3 linked regions of the Saccharomyces cerevisiae S288C genome follow. Each later gene encodes a partner of the first gene's protein in a complex. Each region holds a gene or a part of one and is shown on either strand. Other genes may lie near its edges. The genes, in order: RIC1, RGP1 and YPT6. A codon is read from its position in the direction of its gene.

What was found.
Region 2: the proteins of RIC1 (region 1) and RGP1 are in contact, whole or in part, in a cryo-EM structure (PDB 9AYR), measured with the Saccharomyces cerevisiae proteins. Residues at the interface, in NP_013140.1 of Saccharomyces cerevisiae: Val42 (codon at 2,102), Ser43 (codon at 2,105), Pro44 (codon at 2,108), Pro45 (codon at 2,111), Gln46 (codon at 2,114), Leu47 (codon at 2,117), Leu48 (codon at 2,120), Arg49 (codon at 2,123), Ile50 (codon at 2,126), Pro51 (codon at 2,129), Arg53 (codon at 2,135), Asn54 (codon at 2,138), Ala55 (codon at 2,141), Tyr91 (codon at 2,249), Met96 (codon at 2,264), Ala97 (codon at 2,267), Leu98 (codon at 2,270), Val99 (codon at 2,273), Ala100 (codon at 2,276), Ser101 (codon at 2,279), His102 (codon at 2,282), Glu103 (codon at 2,285), Arg104 (codon at 2,288), Thr105 (codon at 2,291), Ser108 (codon at 2,300), Phe112 (codon at 2,312), Thr204 (codon at 2,588), Leu205 (codon at 2,591), Thr206 (codon at 2,594), Val207 (codon at 2,597); in NP_010421.1 of Saccharomyces cerevisiae: Met1 (codon at 2,015), Arg2 (codon at 2,018), Ala3 (codon at 2,021), Arg5 (codon at 2,027), Ile6 (codon at 2,030), Asp7 (codon at 2,033), Lys16 (codon at 2,060), Leu41 (codon at 2,135), Phe127 (codon at 2,393), Ser505 (codon at 3,527), Asn516 (codon at 3,560), Val518 (codon at 3,566), Thr532 (codon at 3,608), Ser533 (codon at 3,611), Ser563 (codon at 3,701), Tyr565 (codon at 3,707), Glu566 (codon at 3,710), Lys567 (codon at 3,713), His568 (codon at 3,716), Phe569 (codon at 3,719), Ile570 (codon at 3,722), Cys571 (codon at 3,725), Phe572 (codon at 3,728), Asp573 (codon at 3,731), Glu574 (codon at 3,734), Cys575 (codon at 3,737), Lys576 (codon at 3,740), Ser577 (codon at 3,743), Val578 (codon at 3,746), Ser579 (codon at 3,749).
Region 3: the proteins of RIC1 (region 1) and YPT6 are in contact, whole or in part, in a cryo-EM structure (PDB 9AYR), measured with the Saccharomyces cerevisiae proteins. Residues at the interface, in NP_013140.1 of Saccharomyces cerevisiae: Asn520 (codon at 3,536), Glu795 (codon at 4,361), Leu797 (codon at 4,367), Ile815 (codon at 4,421), Lys822 (codon at 4,442), Val824 (codon at 4,448), Val825 (codon at 4,451), Lys826 (codon at 4,454), His827 (codon at 4,457), Gln828 (codon at 4,460), Ile829 (codon at 4,463), Asp832 (codon at 4,472), Lys856 (codon at 4,544), Pro857 (codon at 4,547), Phe860 (codon at 4,556), Ala861 (codon at 4,559), Glu863 (codon at 4,565), Lys864 (codon at 4,568), Ser867 (codon at 4,577), Leu871 (codon at 4,589), Asn909 (codon at 4,703), Cys910 (codon at 4,706), Arg912 (codon at 4,712), Lys913 (codon at 4,715), Ile914 (codon at 4,718), Glu915 (codon at 4,721), Gly947 (codon at 4,817), Val948 (codon at 4,820), Leu951 (codon at 4,829), Leu954 (codon at 4,838); in NP_013363.1 of Saccharomyces cerevisiae: Lys23 (codon at 1,223), Thr24 (codon at 1,220), Ser25 (codon at 1,217), Thr28 (codon at 1,208), Met31 (codon at 1,199), Tyr32 (codon at 1,196), Asp33 (codon at 1,193), Thr34 (codon at 1,190), Phe35 (codon at 1,187), Asp36 (codon at 1,184), Asp37 (codon at 1,181), Tyr39 (codon at 1,175), Ile43 (codon at 1,163), Gly44 (codon at 1,160), Ile45 (codon at 1,157), Asp46 (codon at 1,154), Phe47 (codon at 1,151), Leu48 (codon at 1,148), Tyr53 (codon at 1,133), Asp55 (codon at 1,127), Asp56 (codon at 1,124), Glu70 (codon at 1,082), Arg71 (codon at 1,079), Phe72 (codon at 1,076), Arg73 (codon at 1,073), Leu75 (codon at 1,067), Lys163 (codon at 803).

Annotation. Positions count from the first base shown.
Region 1 is NC_001144.5:224,794-230,574, reverse strand, and holds RIC1 (Ric1p), read left to right. Parts: upstream 1-1,978; coding exon 1,979-5,149; downstream 5,150-5,781. Other genes in the region: NFG1 (Nfg1p), read left to right, coding at 124-609; AFB1 (Afb1p), read left to right, coding at 993-1,667; COX12 (cytochrome c oxidase subunit VIb), read left to right, coding at 5,403-5,654.
Region 2 is NC_001136.10:726,245-730,860, forward strand, and holds RGP1 (Rgp1p), read left to right. Parts: upstream 1-2,014; coding exon 2,015-4,006; downstream 4,007-4,616. Other genes in the region: ATP-binding cassette glutathione S-conjugate transporter YCF1, read right to left, coding at 1-1,307; HPR1 (Hpr1p), read left to right, coding at 4,334-4,616. UniProt on the Saccharomyces cerevisiae protein: The RIC1-RGP1 complex acts as a guanine nucleotide exchange factor (GEF), which activates YPT6 by exchanging bound GDP for free GTP. It is thereby required for efficient fusion of endosome-derived vesicles with the Golgi.
Region 3 is NC_001144.5:667,603-670,767, forward strand, and holds YPT6 (Rab family GTPase YPT6), read right to left. Parts: upstream 1,290-3,165; coding exon 642-1,289; downstream 1-641. Other genes in the region: sphinganine kinase LCB5, read left to right, coding at 1-305; VPS63 (Vps63p), read right to left, coding at 635-961; TMA7 (Tma7p), read right to left, coding at 1,866-2,060; RED1 (Red1p), read left to right, coding at 2,738-3,165. UniProt on the Saccharomyces cerevisiae protein: Protein transport. Might participate in post-Golgi transport.

The sequences.
Region 1 (5,781 bases):
TATTTAGCTATATATTGAATATCTTGACCAGTAAAGCACCTTGAGAAATTGTAAGCTTGAAGAACGTACTTTGATATCCCTCCGTTTCATCATCCTATAGCTCGTCAACAAATCAAAAAAAATATGAAGATCAGTCAATTTGGCTCTTTAGCTTTCGCCCCAATTGTGCTACTACAACTGTTCATTGTTCAAGCGCAACTTCTCACAGATTCAAATGCTCAGGATTTGAATACTGCCCTTGGACAGAAAGTGCAATACACCTTTCTTGACACTGGAAATTCTAACGATCAACTACTTCATCTTCCAAGCACCACCTCTTCCAGCATTATTACTGGTTCATTAGCTGCTGCTAATTTCACCGGTTCTTCATCATCGTCGTCTATACCAAAAGTCACTTCCAGCGTCATAACATCTATAAATTACCAATCCTCAAATTCTACGGTAGTCACCCAGTTCACGCCATTGCCTTCTTCGTCGAGAAATGAAACAAAAAGCTCTCAAACAACTAATACTATAAGTTCAAGTACAAGCACAGGAGGTGTAGGTTCAGTCAAGCCATGTCTTTACTTCGTTTTAATGTTAGAAACAATCGCTTATTTGTTTTCTTAAACAAATATATTAGGTTCAAGGTCTTCGCAGGTGTAAGAAAACCCGTGGTCTCCATATTCTTAAGTATGATAAATAAAAAAAAACTTAATAAATTATTAATTGCTTCAAACCTTTTTCTTTTTTTAGTTTTTAATATTTCAAACGTTATCTTCATTGAACGCCCAAATAGGGAAAAATCCTGGCAAATTTTTTATTGCTGTCATCCAAGGCTATGCTAGAAAATTCAAGAGCTTGGATGATTTAAAAAGACACTCTCAATCGAGAAAGTTTATTCTTTGTTATTCTGCTTTACCTGATCATATTCCGGCGTATTGTTTCTAATCAAGTGATTTCGATATCCAGTTACGAACCATTTACAACATTCCTGAAAATATTGCGTATCAATGATATTTGCTCCTTCTTTCTCCCTCATTAAAAATATTCTCCTGGTAAGCTTTCTAATCAGCCACAGTTTTGCTGCCAAAACTTTAACGTCTAGTTCCAATGACGATACACTTGCCAGGTCCGCAGCTGCAGATGCAGACATGGCATTCTTCATGGAGTTTTTAAACGATTTCGACACCGCTTTTCCACAGTATACCTCATACATGATGCAAAACCATTTAACCCTACCTCAACCTGTTGCTGACTACTACTATCACATGGTTGATTTGGCCTCAACAGCAGATTTACAATCTGATATTGCTCAGAGTTTTCCGTTCACTCAATTCCAAACATTCATTACGGCCTTTCCATGGTATACCTCTTTGCTAAACAAAGCCTCCGCCACCACCATATACCTTCCCCAACACTTCATAACAGGTGAGACAGAAGCTACCATGACTAACTCATCTTATGCCAGCCAAAAAAACTCCGTTTCCAATTCTGTTCCTTTCTCGACAGCGAACGCAGGCCAGTCCATGATTTCCATGGCTAATGAAGAAAACAGTACAACAGCACTTATATCCGCATCAAACTCTTCTTCAACATCCAGAACTAGTCAATCACAGAATGGTGCCCATGCCAAAAGCTTATATTTCCCCATGGCGTTGTTCGGAATCTTTGCAGTTGCCCTTTAAGTGCCTCAACCAAATTTGACAATTTAATTCCATGGGAGGTCCGCCATCCCTTTTCGCTTTTTTTATAATATGTGTATTATTTATACAAATATGTATATAAGTATGTACTTTTTCAATGGACAATTCGATTTTAAGAGCGTTTTTAGTGACAACGATGAACATCAACTTTGTACAGTATCAAACGATTTATTTTTAACATATTATTATAACTTCTGAATGGCGTTGCCATCTTGGCCAAAATCTTGTCTTTTCTGTCGTTTTATGGCAGGCTTTTGTTCTTTGATGTTAATTCGGCAATACCGACGCCTTTGATGTTCATCAAACAGTCTGAAAAAAATACACCTAAATGCCTCTACAAAAAAAAAGGTAAGGTAAGAGTGTTATTGACCGGAAGCTGTAAGAAACTGAACACGTGGAAAATGCACTTATGGCCAGTCAGTCCGCCCCAATTGCTTAGAATTCCACCCCGCAACGCCGAATTAGGTGAGGGTACTAAAATAGATGATTGCAATATTCTTCAATCAATGACACTACCCCAGGCCAATGTTCTTATCATGCTAACCCCAACAAGAGTGCTCATTTACAACTTCAAACCAATGGCACTAGTAGCTAGCCATGAACGAACAATGGCTTCTCTTAAGGAATTTGGCGATAACAGATCAATGAAACGATCAGCTCCATATAATGATATCATCGAAGGGCTTATTTCAAAAAAGGACTCGCAATACTTATTGTGGCACCAGGGAAAGCTGATATTTTACGTAATGACTGATAAAAACTTCCTTTTAACATACCAAATTTTAAAAAACTGCACAAATGAAATAATTTTCAAAGAATACGGCATACCCGTCATAGAGCCTCTTTTAATGAGTGAAGAAGAAGCGAACAGTGCTGAATATGACTATAACAACGATGATGATACTCTCACGGTATTTGATAAAAATAGTTCTTCAAGAATTATACAGAATGGATTTGGCATAACTAAGGAAAAAGGGTTTTTACACTTTCTTTCTAATCAAGAAAACATTGATGAACTCCCCGTGAAAAAACTAGAACTTCGTTTAAAAGTAGTTCTTAAATTTGACTATGAAATCATAGACATGATTGGCATCAAGACATTTTCCAAAGTCGGGGATGGGCGTTATGAAGAAGTTTTGATAGTTTTATTCCCTCATGGATTACAAATACTTACAATATCGGATTTTAAAGTTAGCAAGAGCTCGTTGGTTGAAGTGAAGAAGGGATCCAAGACAATTGTGTGTAATAAACAATTAATGGTTTTATCTCATGATTCCGTCGAAAAGCAGACTATTGTAAGCATTATAGACATTGAAAAGCAAGCTGTTGAAGCAATACCGTTAACGGACACACCAGATGAACTTTTGACTTGCCTAGAAGTTAATGGATACCTGGTGGTCGTTTACAAAGAAAAAATAATCTGCTTTGATACAAGAATTAAAAAAGTAAGCCATTCTTGGAAACCACCATTTGTGATAAAACTTTGCGATAAAATTAATGATAAAATATTACTTTTGGTTTCTGAGGATAGTGTTAACATTCATTTTTACACAGAATTTGGGAATCTGCTATTCGCTACATATTTTGACGAAGATGATTATAATGGTGATAACAATAATGACAACAGCAAGGATAAAAATGAGAAAAAGGCGGCTGAATATAAAATTTCTGATTTTGTATGCTTGGATAAATCACTAATAACAGTGTCTCATTCCGGAAAATATCAAGTTTGGAAATTATGGGAAGAAATAAAACAAACACAATTTGATTTCAGAAACCCAAAATGTTACGTATTAACCAATACGAACAATGATGTAATCATATATTCACCTGTGACAAGTTCTTCAATCAATAATGATAATTTACAAGTCATAAAACTTCCTACAAAGACTTTCAATAATCATATTGCTTTTGTAAAAATTAATTCTTCCTTGAGGTTATTTGCTACTTATGTGTCGAACAAAAACATACTGCTTATCCACAATCTAGAGACCAATATGTGGTCTAGTTTTGCTGACCAAAACGTGTTGGATTTACATTGGCTAGGTGATAATTATTTGGTTTGTCATATGAAGAATGATGATGGCTCAACAAATCTGAAATGTCTGCAGATTCCACTGCAAGAAGCGAATCCGGACGTGGAACTATCAGATTATGTCATGTGGGAATACAATGTTCCAGAGAATACGATTGTTTTCAGTTTACATGTTAATACTTTATCCCGGTATAAGTTGTTGAAAATGAAATCCAAGAATCACAATGCTTCTGAAAAACAACCTGATGCATTGCTTAAAACTGCCGAGATTATTTTAGTTACTGATACACAGACAATTGTCTTCGATGTAATTTCTACTGTACATCCATGTGGATTAAACATCATCAAAAAATTCTACCAGTATCTCAAAATTAACATTCCAATTGATGTTTTACCCAACAAAATTGAGTGGATAATTAACATGAAGGAGGGCTTGTTATTTTTTGCCGATAGGAAATTTATAAAGCTTGGCAAAGTGGATGGAGGGGGCTGGCAAACCTTAACTTTGTTGGATAACATAGAAAAAATAATCGATGTTATCAGGGACGAAATATTTGTAGTTCAAGGCCATAATTACGTCGTATACTCTTTGGAAGATTTATGGGATGATAAAAAGCCACTAGTTTCCATTCCAATCGAAGAAGATTTGTATCCAATATCAACCACCCCAGAAACAGCTACAACACATACACTTCACTGCATTTTTAACGCGCGATTTTCCAAATTGGTGGTGAAACACCAAATATACCTCGACCAATTAATCTTAGCCAAATTAGAAGACAACACAGATTTGGAGGATATTTCACACAATTATCGTTTTTTAAAGCCTTACAAATTTGCACTCGAAAAGATTTTGTCTACTAAAATACTGCGAAGCGACTCTTTGGATGATATCCTGAAATTAATTAAGATGTATGACAACACCGATCCTGAGCATAATATTTCACCACCAACCCACAGTGGTATGTTAGAAATTATTAGTAATTGTTTAAGGAAGATCGAAACTAAATACTGGAACCATCTATTCACTAATCTAAAGATGACACCAAGAGATTTATTAGCACTCTGTATCGAAGAAAATGAGGCTAAAATGCTTGGCGTACTTCTGTTAGTGTTTTTAAATTACGATGAGAAAGATTTGGGAGATGATCTACATTTTAAGAAATCAGATTTAGGGACTGAGGAAAGCAAAGCTCTAAATGATAACTCTACAAAAAAGTCAGAGAAATCTGTCACTAATTTATTGAAGGATGAAGAATTAATGCTTAAAGTCTTAGAGCTTTTGGTGACAAGTGCTGCAAACGCCACAGACCCAATTAAAGCTACCGATTCGTGGGACATGTGTTTCCAATTAATACGCTTACTCAAGGAATTAGACAGAGAAAACAACACACAATTGGTTCAAAAAGCACTCGAGAGATTCAAATAAATCTATATGACACCATGTATTCTTTACCATATAGCTTCATAACATTGACCAATCAATTTTCAGAAATGCGTCGCGCGTAGTTTTGCCCGATATCCCCATCCCTTCAGGATCTTTAAAAGGTGATGAAAGATGCACCAGATAGAAAAGTTGCATTAAAATGATTAGCAGAGATATACAAATATTTTAGTAAGAATACATAAAGTATCTTTGCTTTCACAAATAGGAACAAGCACATAAATACAGTATAATAGACATGGCTGATCAAGAAAACTCTCCACTACATACAGTTGGTTTCGATGCTAGATTTCCCCAACAAAACCAAACAAAGCATTGTTGGCAATCTTATGTGGATTATCACAAGTGTGTTAATATGAAGGGCGAAGATTTTGCTCCGTGCAAGGTCTTTTGGAAGACCTATAACGCCTTATGTCCCCTAGACTGGATCGAAAAATGGGATGATCAAAGAGAAAAAGGTATTTTCGCAGGTGATATCAACTCAGACTAAGGATCTTAGTTTCGTTTTTAGTAATGTGCACTTAGCCTTTTTTATATCATTATTATTAATTACTAGAATTCATTTTTGCGTAGTAGACCTACACGGGATGAAGGATATCTATATGAAAAGTAAAGTA
Region 2 (4,616 bases), on another chromosome or scaffold:
CAAATAATGATTTGAAAAGGCCCTGACCATATTAAATTTAGCCATTGTGTTAAATCTTGTAATTTTTGAACATCCACACTCATGAGATTGACAATGTCACCGGTAGAGGAAAGTCCAGAAGCCTCATTAGATAGCACTAAGGATTTTTGATATATTAAAGCCGTTAGGGCGCTCTTAATATACATGCCTGTGTTGAAGACATTCAGGAAATATTGATGCAGGACAGATGTCTGAGTAAAGCCCACCAGAAACATAGCAAACGCAATCAAAAACCCTCTTACAATGGGTAATTTTTGTGGGTGGTTATTTTCAAACCCTTGAAGAGAAGAATGGTCATCCTGTCTCTCACTGTTATAGTCTGTGACGAACTTGATTAAAATCCTTAGTAGTTGTGGTTGAGTAAATGCTAGAACATCATGAATTGCTTTAAAGAATGCGGCTAAAAGCATTTTAGATCCAAAAGTTCTGCATATAGCCCATGATAATGAAGGATTTGATTTTTGCTTCAACTCATTTTCCCAGTTTTTCTCCAATTTTTGAGAGAGTTCTTCACTACTAAAGTTCCTCGGTAATTTATATAAATCTGCTTCCACTAAGTATTTTTCATAGCCAGTTTTCATCAAACCTGACATCCAAGAGAAGGTAATCCTGGAAAATATGTTTGCGCTATCGTATGGATTTGGTTTTCTTCTTGTTAAAGTTTGATGTATGTGTTGATGTGGCATTAGCGGCTTCTTTGGAAGAGCTTCAAGTAACAGGATACTGGCACATGTTATTACTTGGAATAACGTTAGTATGAAACCCGTTTGTCCGGAATACCAAATGCCTTCGTAGGTGTGTCTAATTAGAATATTTATTAGTTTAGCAAAATTACCGAATGTTTCAAAAAGCCAATAGAATAAAAGTACCGTATTGGCTACAACTGATCTATCGTATTCTATCCAGTGTAAGGCTAAAGCAACAAATAAAGATAACATTGTAGAAGCATATTGACTTACAATGGTAAAGTTTTCCGCTTCTTCTTTAGAAATATTTAAAGACGCAAGTGAAACAAACGCTATCTCCAACAGAACTAGTGCCATCCTAGAGACAATAATCCAATTCCGCCTATATTTGATGCCAGAGTGTTTTTTCTTGCAAAGGTTAACTAAATCTCTGATACCGAAGGTTATCATGAAAATTGCTGATAGATTTAGGATCACACCGTCGATGAAGCATTGAGTAAAGTCACCGTAAAAGGATATAGGTCCAAACCCTTCAGGAGATCTACAGAGCTTGCAGGCCCATGAAACAAGATTACCAGCCATTTTCTTGTTCTTTACGGTAGTACGATACCCCTAATTTATTCTCAAACTGTTAATTGAAAAATTGTAGGTTGTAAACCAGCTTCCACATAGCAGATGATCACAAGAGGTTATCGCACCTTTTATAGCAGCTGCTAACTTTTTTCATCAATTTCGTAATTACTAAGCCGTAACCTTCCACCGCCCAAGCATCACACCAGGAGTTACATATTTTTGTATTATCATAAAGAAACACACGCCAAGATATCTACAGAAACCAGATGTTAGCATTAGATATATATATTCGTATTGATGCAGCATAACAAGCGTACTATGGATTGCAAAGTAATGTAGATTCCTGACCAGTAGATCTGCTCGCGCAAGAGAAACATTCATGAACTCTAACGACAATAACAGTAAATCCACCTCACGGAGAACGATAAAAGTCTTCATTTCTCCATGAGGTGGAAACGTTGTTTGAATATTAAACATAATACTTGAACTTCTTGTGTAATTTTTATTTTTTAATCGAAGTCTACTCCGAAGTCTCCTATAAAGCGTAAGGCGCGTCTCCAAAGTGCTATTTTTCAAGATCAATTCAGCTTCAAAGAAGCTTTGATACCTACGGGGCAATGCAAAGGCTGCCAGTCGAAACAAACAGCGAAAGCTAGCCCATAATTTCTTGAGCTGTTGATTTTGATTGTGATATTTTTCATACTTTAGAAGAAGATATGCGTGCGCACAGAATCGATACATTTCTCATAAGAGAAAACATCAAACTGGAGATCATACATGAATCGAATTCCTATTTTGGTGGAGAACATATATCAATTGCTTTCCGATTTAAGCACCTAGGCTCACAGCATGAATTGTTCAACTATAAAGAAAAGCTTCTCACTGTCGATAAAGCTGTTGAAGAGAAGTTGGAACAACAAGCGAAAGTGCAAGATGATGGTGAAGGCACGATGGAAAATCAAACCTGGTCCCTAAAATCATTACTAGGTGCCTTCAAAAGAACAGGCGAACCTGAAGAGAGTGTGGATGTGGATAACATGAAAATGCTAAATGAGAGTAAGATGTTAAGAGAAAAAATACAGAAGCAAATGTATTTTCATCAACCTGTAACGTTAATATCCGGTTATGTTCAAATATCGGGGGTCTTTCAATACGATTCAGAGGTAATTTCAGAGTCAAAATTTAAACAAGATGAAGTAAAAATGGTAGGACTAGATATTGTACCTGGACATACGACAAATTCTGTTCTTGCATTGGAAGATGGAGAACATTTCAAAGGTAAAAGAAATTTAACCAACTACCTCAACTCAGATTATACAAATGTGACCAATGGTCTTCTTTTCTCAGAAAGCGGTTCTAGGGGAAGAACAGGTACCTATAACGAACGGACCTTAATGATATCAAACGATACCAGTATAAAAACATTACCTCTTCTTTTAATACCACAGACGCTTTTATTTTCTGAAATTTCTTTAGAACCAGGTGAAGTAAGAACATTCTATTTTAAATCCACAAAGCTGCCAAAAGATATATGCCCAAGTTATTCATCGTCAAAAGTGGCATCAATAAATTACACGCTGGAGGTTGGTGCGGATGTACTTTCTGATGATAATATCGAGAAATTTTCAAATAGAGTCCCAATAACAATAGCACCATATATTAGTTCGAATGCCGAACAGTACACATCACGTCTGGATAAGCCTGCTATCATATTAAAGACAGGTAACATAAAGGAACTAAAGCCACGTTTGTTTACTCGAAAAGTTTCTACGGCTTCTGCTGTATCATTTGGTAGGAGAAAATCTTCTATAATTGACATTGATTCTCCATTAGAAGATAATGAATTTGTCAAGCGTGTCAAAAAAAACTTCATTGAACTGGTGGAATCTAACCAAAATGTGTCAAGAGATATAGACGAACTTATTGACTTGCAAATGGGGGTACAGTTCGGAAAGGATGAGGATTCTTCGGATCCTGAACCCAACGACTCACACTTTTCGAACGAAATGGTGACGTCTGCAGAGTCTAGCCTGAGAAGCGATGCTGTAACTAAGAGGAGAAAAAGTTATTCGGTACGCGATAACATTTCTAACCTCGAGCAAAAGATGTGGAACGATTGTTCTCTCGTTAAGTCAGATGAGAATTCTAATCTTCTACCTCAGCTAATTAATTTACAGAACGCATATCAAATTAACAGAAATAATGAGACTATGGCAAAAGTATCCTTATCAGCACCTTTTTATAAGACAACTGATGATATAAATTTAGTCATTGAATTAGATCCGATAACGACGCCTTTACTTAAAGTGACTTCGTTGACTGTATCCTTAGAATCGTTTGAAATTATAAATCCAAAATATAAGACTGAAGGAAAAGGAATAGGGAGCAAACCAAAAGGAAACTCGGTGTATGAGAAACATTTTATTTGTTTCGATGAGTGCAAGTCCGTATCGGTGAAATTACTTCCTCCAAGATCGCCTACAAACCAGATTACCGGACAATTCAAGACAGATGTTTTTCAACATAAGTGGATGATAGGACTAAAATTTGTAATAATTGCAAAGACAGAAAGTATCACTTTGGATCAATTTTATGAGGATAAAAAGGGCATCCTATTCCATTCAAAAGAGAATTTAGAAGGTGAAGAGTTTACATGTTACGTTCCCATTCCAATACTGTGTACATCCGAAGATTTCATGGGATGGTAAGCAATAAATGGGTGCAGTTTACTCGTATAATTGGTTTTGCATTTGAATCCAATCCAGTAAAGAGGATTTACTATACTCTCTTCATAAAGGGTATGTACAGATACATTTATAAGTTAGTTAACCGGCTTTATTGTCGTAATAGTCATCTCTTGATGTCATGGGTTGCTGTCCGTGCGATTTCAAGACTGCTCATTTCGCACGATGCATATTGCTTCTCTAATGACATTTTTCGTTAGAATGATCAGGTTTTTGCCATAGCTTGATCAGTAAATTAATAGATGATTTTAACAATTCAAGAGGCATTAAAACTTGGGCAAAGGAGTAATAATGTCTAATACCGAGGAATTGATCCAAAACTCAATAGGTTTTCTCCAGAAAACTTTTAAAGCACTCCCAGTTTCGTTTGACTCCATTCGACATGAACCACTTCCATCTTCAATGTTGCATGCAAGTGTTCTCAATTTTGAATGGGAACCGCTCGAAAAAAATATTTCGGCAATTCATGATAGAGATTCTTTGATTGACATTATACTTAAAAGATTCATTATAGATTCAATGACAAATGCTATTGAAGACGAAGAAGAAAATAATCTTGAAAAAGGGTTACTAA
Region 3 (3,165 bases), 440 kb from region 1:
TCTTTCCGGCAGCGCTTCCTTCAGATGGTACAATGGATATGGTTATCACCGATGCAAGAACCTCGTTGACGAGGATGGCACCAATCCTGCTGGGACTAGATAAGGGTTCCCATGTTTTACAACCGGAAGTCTTACACTCTAAAATTTTGGCATACAAGATAATACCAAAGCTAGGGAACGGCTTGTTCTCTGTCGATGGCGAGAAATTTCCTCTAGAGCCCCTTCAAGTCGAAATTATGCCACGCTTATGCAAGACGTTACTGAGAAATGGCCGTTATGTGGACACAGATTTCGATTCTATGTGACACTTTACTTAATCTTTTCCTTCGTACTGAACAATTAATCAAAAACTAGAATATGTCATTTCTATTTCTTCTATATTTTTTTTACGTTGTTGTTGTTTTTGTTGTTGTTTGATAACTTTATACACTCCATACTTCTTTATAAAAAGTTTTAATACCATTCTTTAATACAACCATGTTTAGTGAGTACTAGCTCCTACACATCAGATCGTCAAGTACATTATGATTATGATTATTATTAATATTATCAGTACAATTATTATGTGCTGGTAGTTCACTAAAAAATATGACGCACACAAAGAGTTCTCCTTATGCCCTATAGAACTGAAATATTAGGTGCTAACACTGACAAGCGCTTTGTTCCTGCTCCTCTGCTGTAGAAATATCAATGACTCCCGGTTTATTTTGGTTTGCACTATTTGCATTTTCGCTATCCAAAGGAGTTGACTCGCTGTTTTGAAATTCAGGCAGCGATTTGGCAATCTTTTTGAATAAAGCTTTGACATTATAGCCTGCCTTTGTGGACGTTTCCATAAAGATTTTAGCACCCAATAGTTTTGCTTTTTTCTCTCCCTCTTCGGTTGAGATTTGCCTTTCATCTGATAAATCACTTTTGTTACCAACAATGCACAATATAACATTTTCGTCACCTCTTTCATTTTTAACGTCTTCTATCCATTTATCAATATATTCAAATGATTTTCTCTTCGTAATGTCGTAAACGATAATAGCAACTCTCGAATCTCTGATATATGAAGGTATTAATGATCTAAATCTTTCCTGACCTGCTGTATCCCATAACTGTAATCTAATTGTCTTATCATCCAAATACATGGTCTTGGAAAGAAAATCTATACCAATCGTGGCTTGGTAATGATCATCGAACGTATCATACATAAATCTAGTGATCAGCGATGTTTTTCCAACACCCTGTTCTCCCAAAAAAACAATTTTGTACTTTGTCAATGATTTCCCGGATCTGCTCATTGTTAATCTCTTCTTTGTTTATCTTTTACTGTTCAGAATCAACAGCTTCAAACACTTCTTTTCACACAACCTTAAGTGCCCAATTGTGATATTCTTACATCATACATAGTAACAATCTATATATGGGCAATATTTTCCTCCACTAATTGAGCTGTGCTGAAGGCTTTATTACCCGGAAATTATTCGGCCATTTTTCACTAGAAGTTAATACCAGCACTAACGAATAGAAGCACCCTATTCTACTCAAGATGCCCGGTTCATGAATAGGGAGAAGTATTTTTCTTATTTTCCTTAGCCATCTATAAATATTTATCCTTATGCCTGTCACCACAATAGAAAAGGGTCCATTATATATCAGTTGTTTTCGTACCTCTAGAGAGACACGCAAGGGGCTTTATTTAGGAAACCTCCAAATTTGCTAGATGTAACCATTATACATAGTAATTACGATTGTAAAACATCGGAAAGAACGATATATCTTGCAAATAGCTTTTCTTTGGTAATATATGTATTTACTTAAAAAACGAGAACTAGAAAATACTGAGTAAATTTTTATTAGACGTTGTTAAAGGCCTTTTATTTCTTACCAGATTTTTTGATACCACCACCCACTAAAGGTTTACCACTTTTCATATTAGCCATCAAAGCTTTCTTAGCAGCAGCATCGGCCTTTTGCTTCTCTTTGAAGGCAATGTCTTCAGGATCTAAGTCCTGTTGTTGCTTCTTCTTTTGCTTTAGAGGCTTCATCTTACCACCTTGGCGACTAGACATGATTGCTTAGGGTTTTTCAGTTATTCTTCTGGTTTTGCAACTTACTGTGCGTGGAAGAGCAATCAATTACAGGATTTTAAACATGAAATTTTTTATTTTCCTCGTTCATTTTCGTCGCGGGAAACTTCCAGAAGTATAGATTTACTACAATTTTTATCTCAGGACAGAAAGAATAAACCAAAAAAGCCAAGACAAGCCAAGCCAAGCCGAGGCGACTGGAGGAGCTTTTCATCACATTCAATGACAAATCACAACAGGTTTCCCTGTTAGAAAAGGCATGTGCACTCACAATTCATATTTTCATACAGAAGATATACATTGGATTTCTGGAGATATCAGGTAAGGTTCGACAAAAACAATGGCGTTTGCCAACCCTTTATGATGGGTGATCTTGTATCCGCTTAATTGTGTGATCTAAAAAGGCAAAGTAACGTATTATTGGCTGGTTTATATAATTTGAATATGACTACTTTTTCAACGTTAAAAACGATAAATACTTGCTCAAAGGGTTCAGCGGCTAAATAAACTACGATTTCGCAGCAGGATCAGATGGATTCAATCACATCATTCGCAAAACATTCACATCATTCGTGAAGCATTAAAGGTAATAAGAAAAATAGAACAAAGATTTTTTAATCAGTGAGGACCACAAAGGGACAGCAAATACGGTGATAAGAATGGAAGGTTTGAAGAAAAAGATTTTTGGTGTTTGCCTGAAAAATGACTTAGCACAGACTAGGAATGAAACGAAAGGAATCCACTATGGGTTAATGACTTTGGAAACTTCTAAACAACTGCAGGAATTTCTCCATTTGCTAGTAATAAAGAGAGAAGTAATTCAAAATTTTGAGTTGTTATTTCACATCATAAATGTTGCCGTTAAAATCACCGATTCAAATCTTCCAAGTGATGATATCTGGCATTTCATTTTAAAATTAAGATTTTCTTCTGAGATTAATATAGACGAAGACTCCAAAGTTTTAAATTATTTACTTGAGACTGGCATCGCAATGGAAAATCCAGTCAGTTGGAAATGCTTGGCCGTTATTAGCAGCATCCTCAGCAGTGTCCCTCAATCCAAAAAGATTATAACTAACCTGATCGA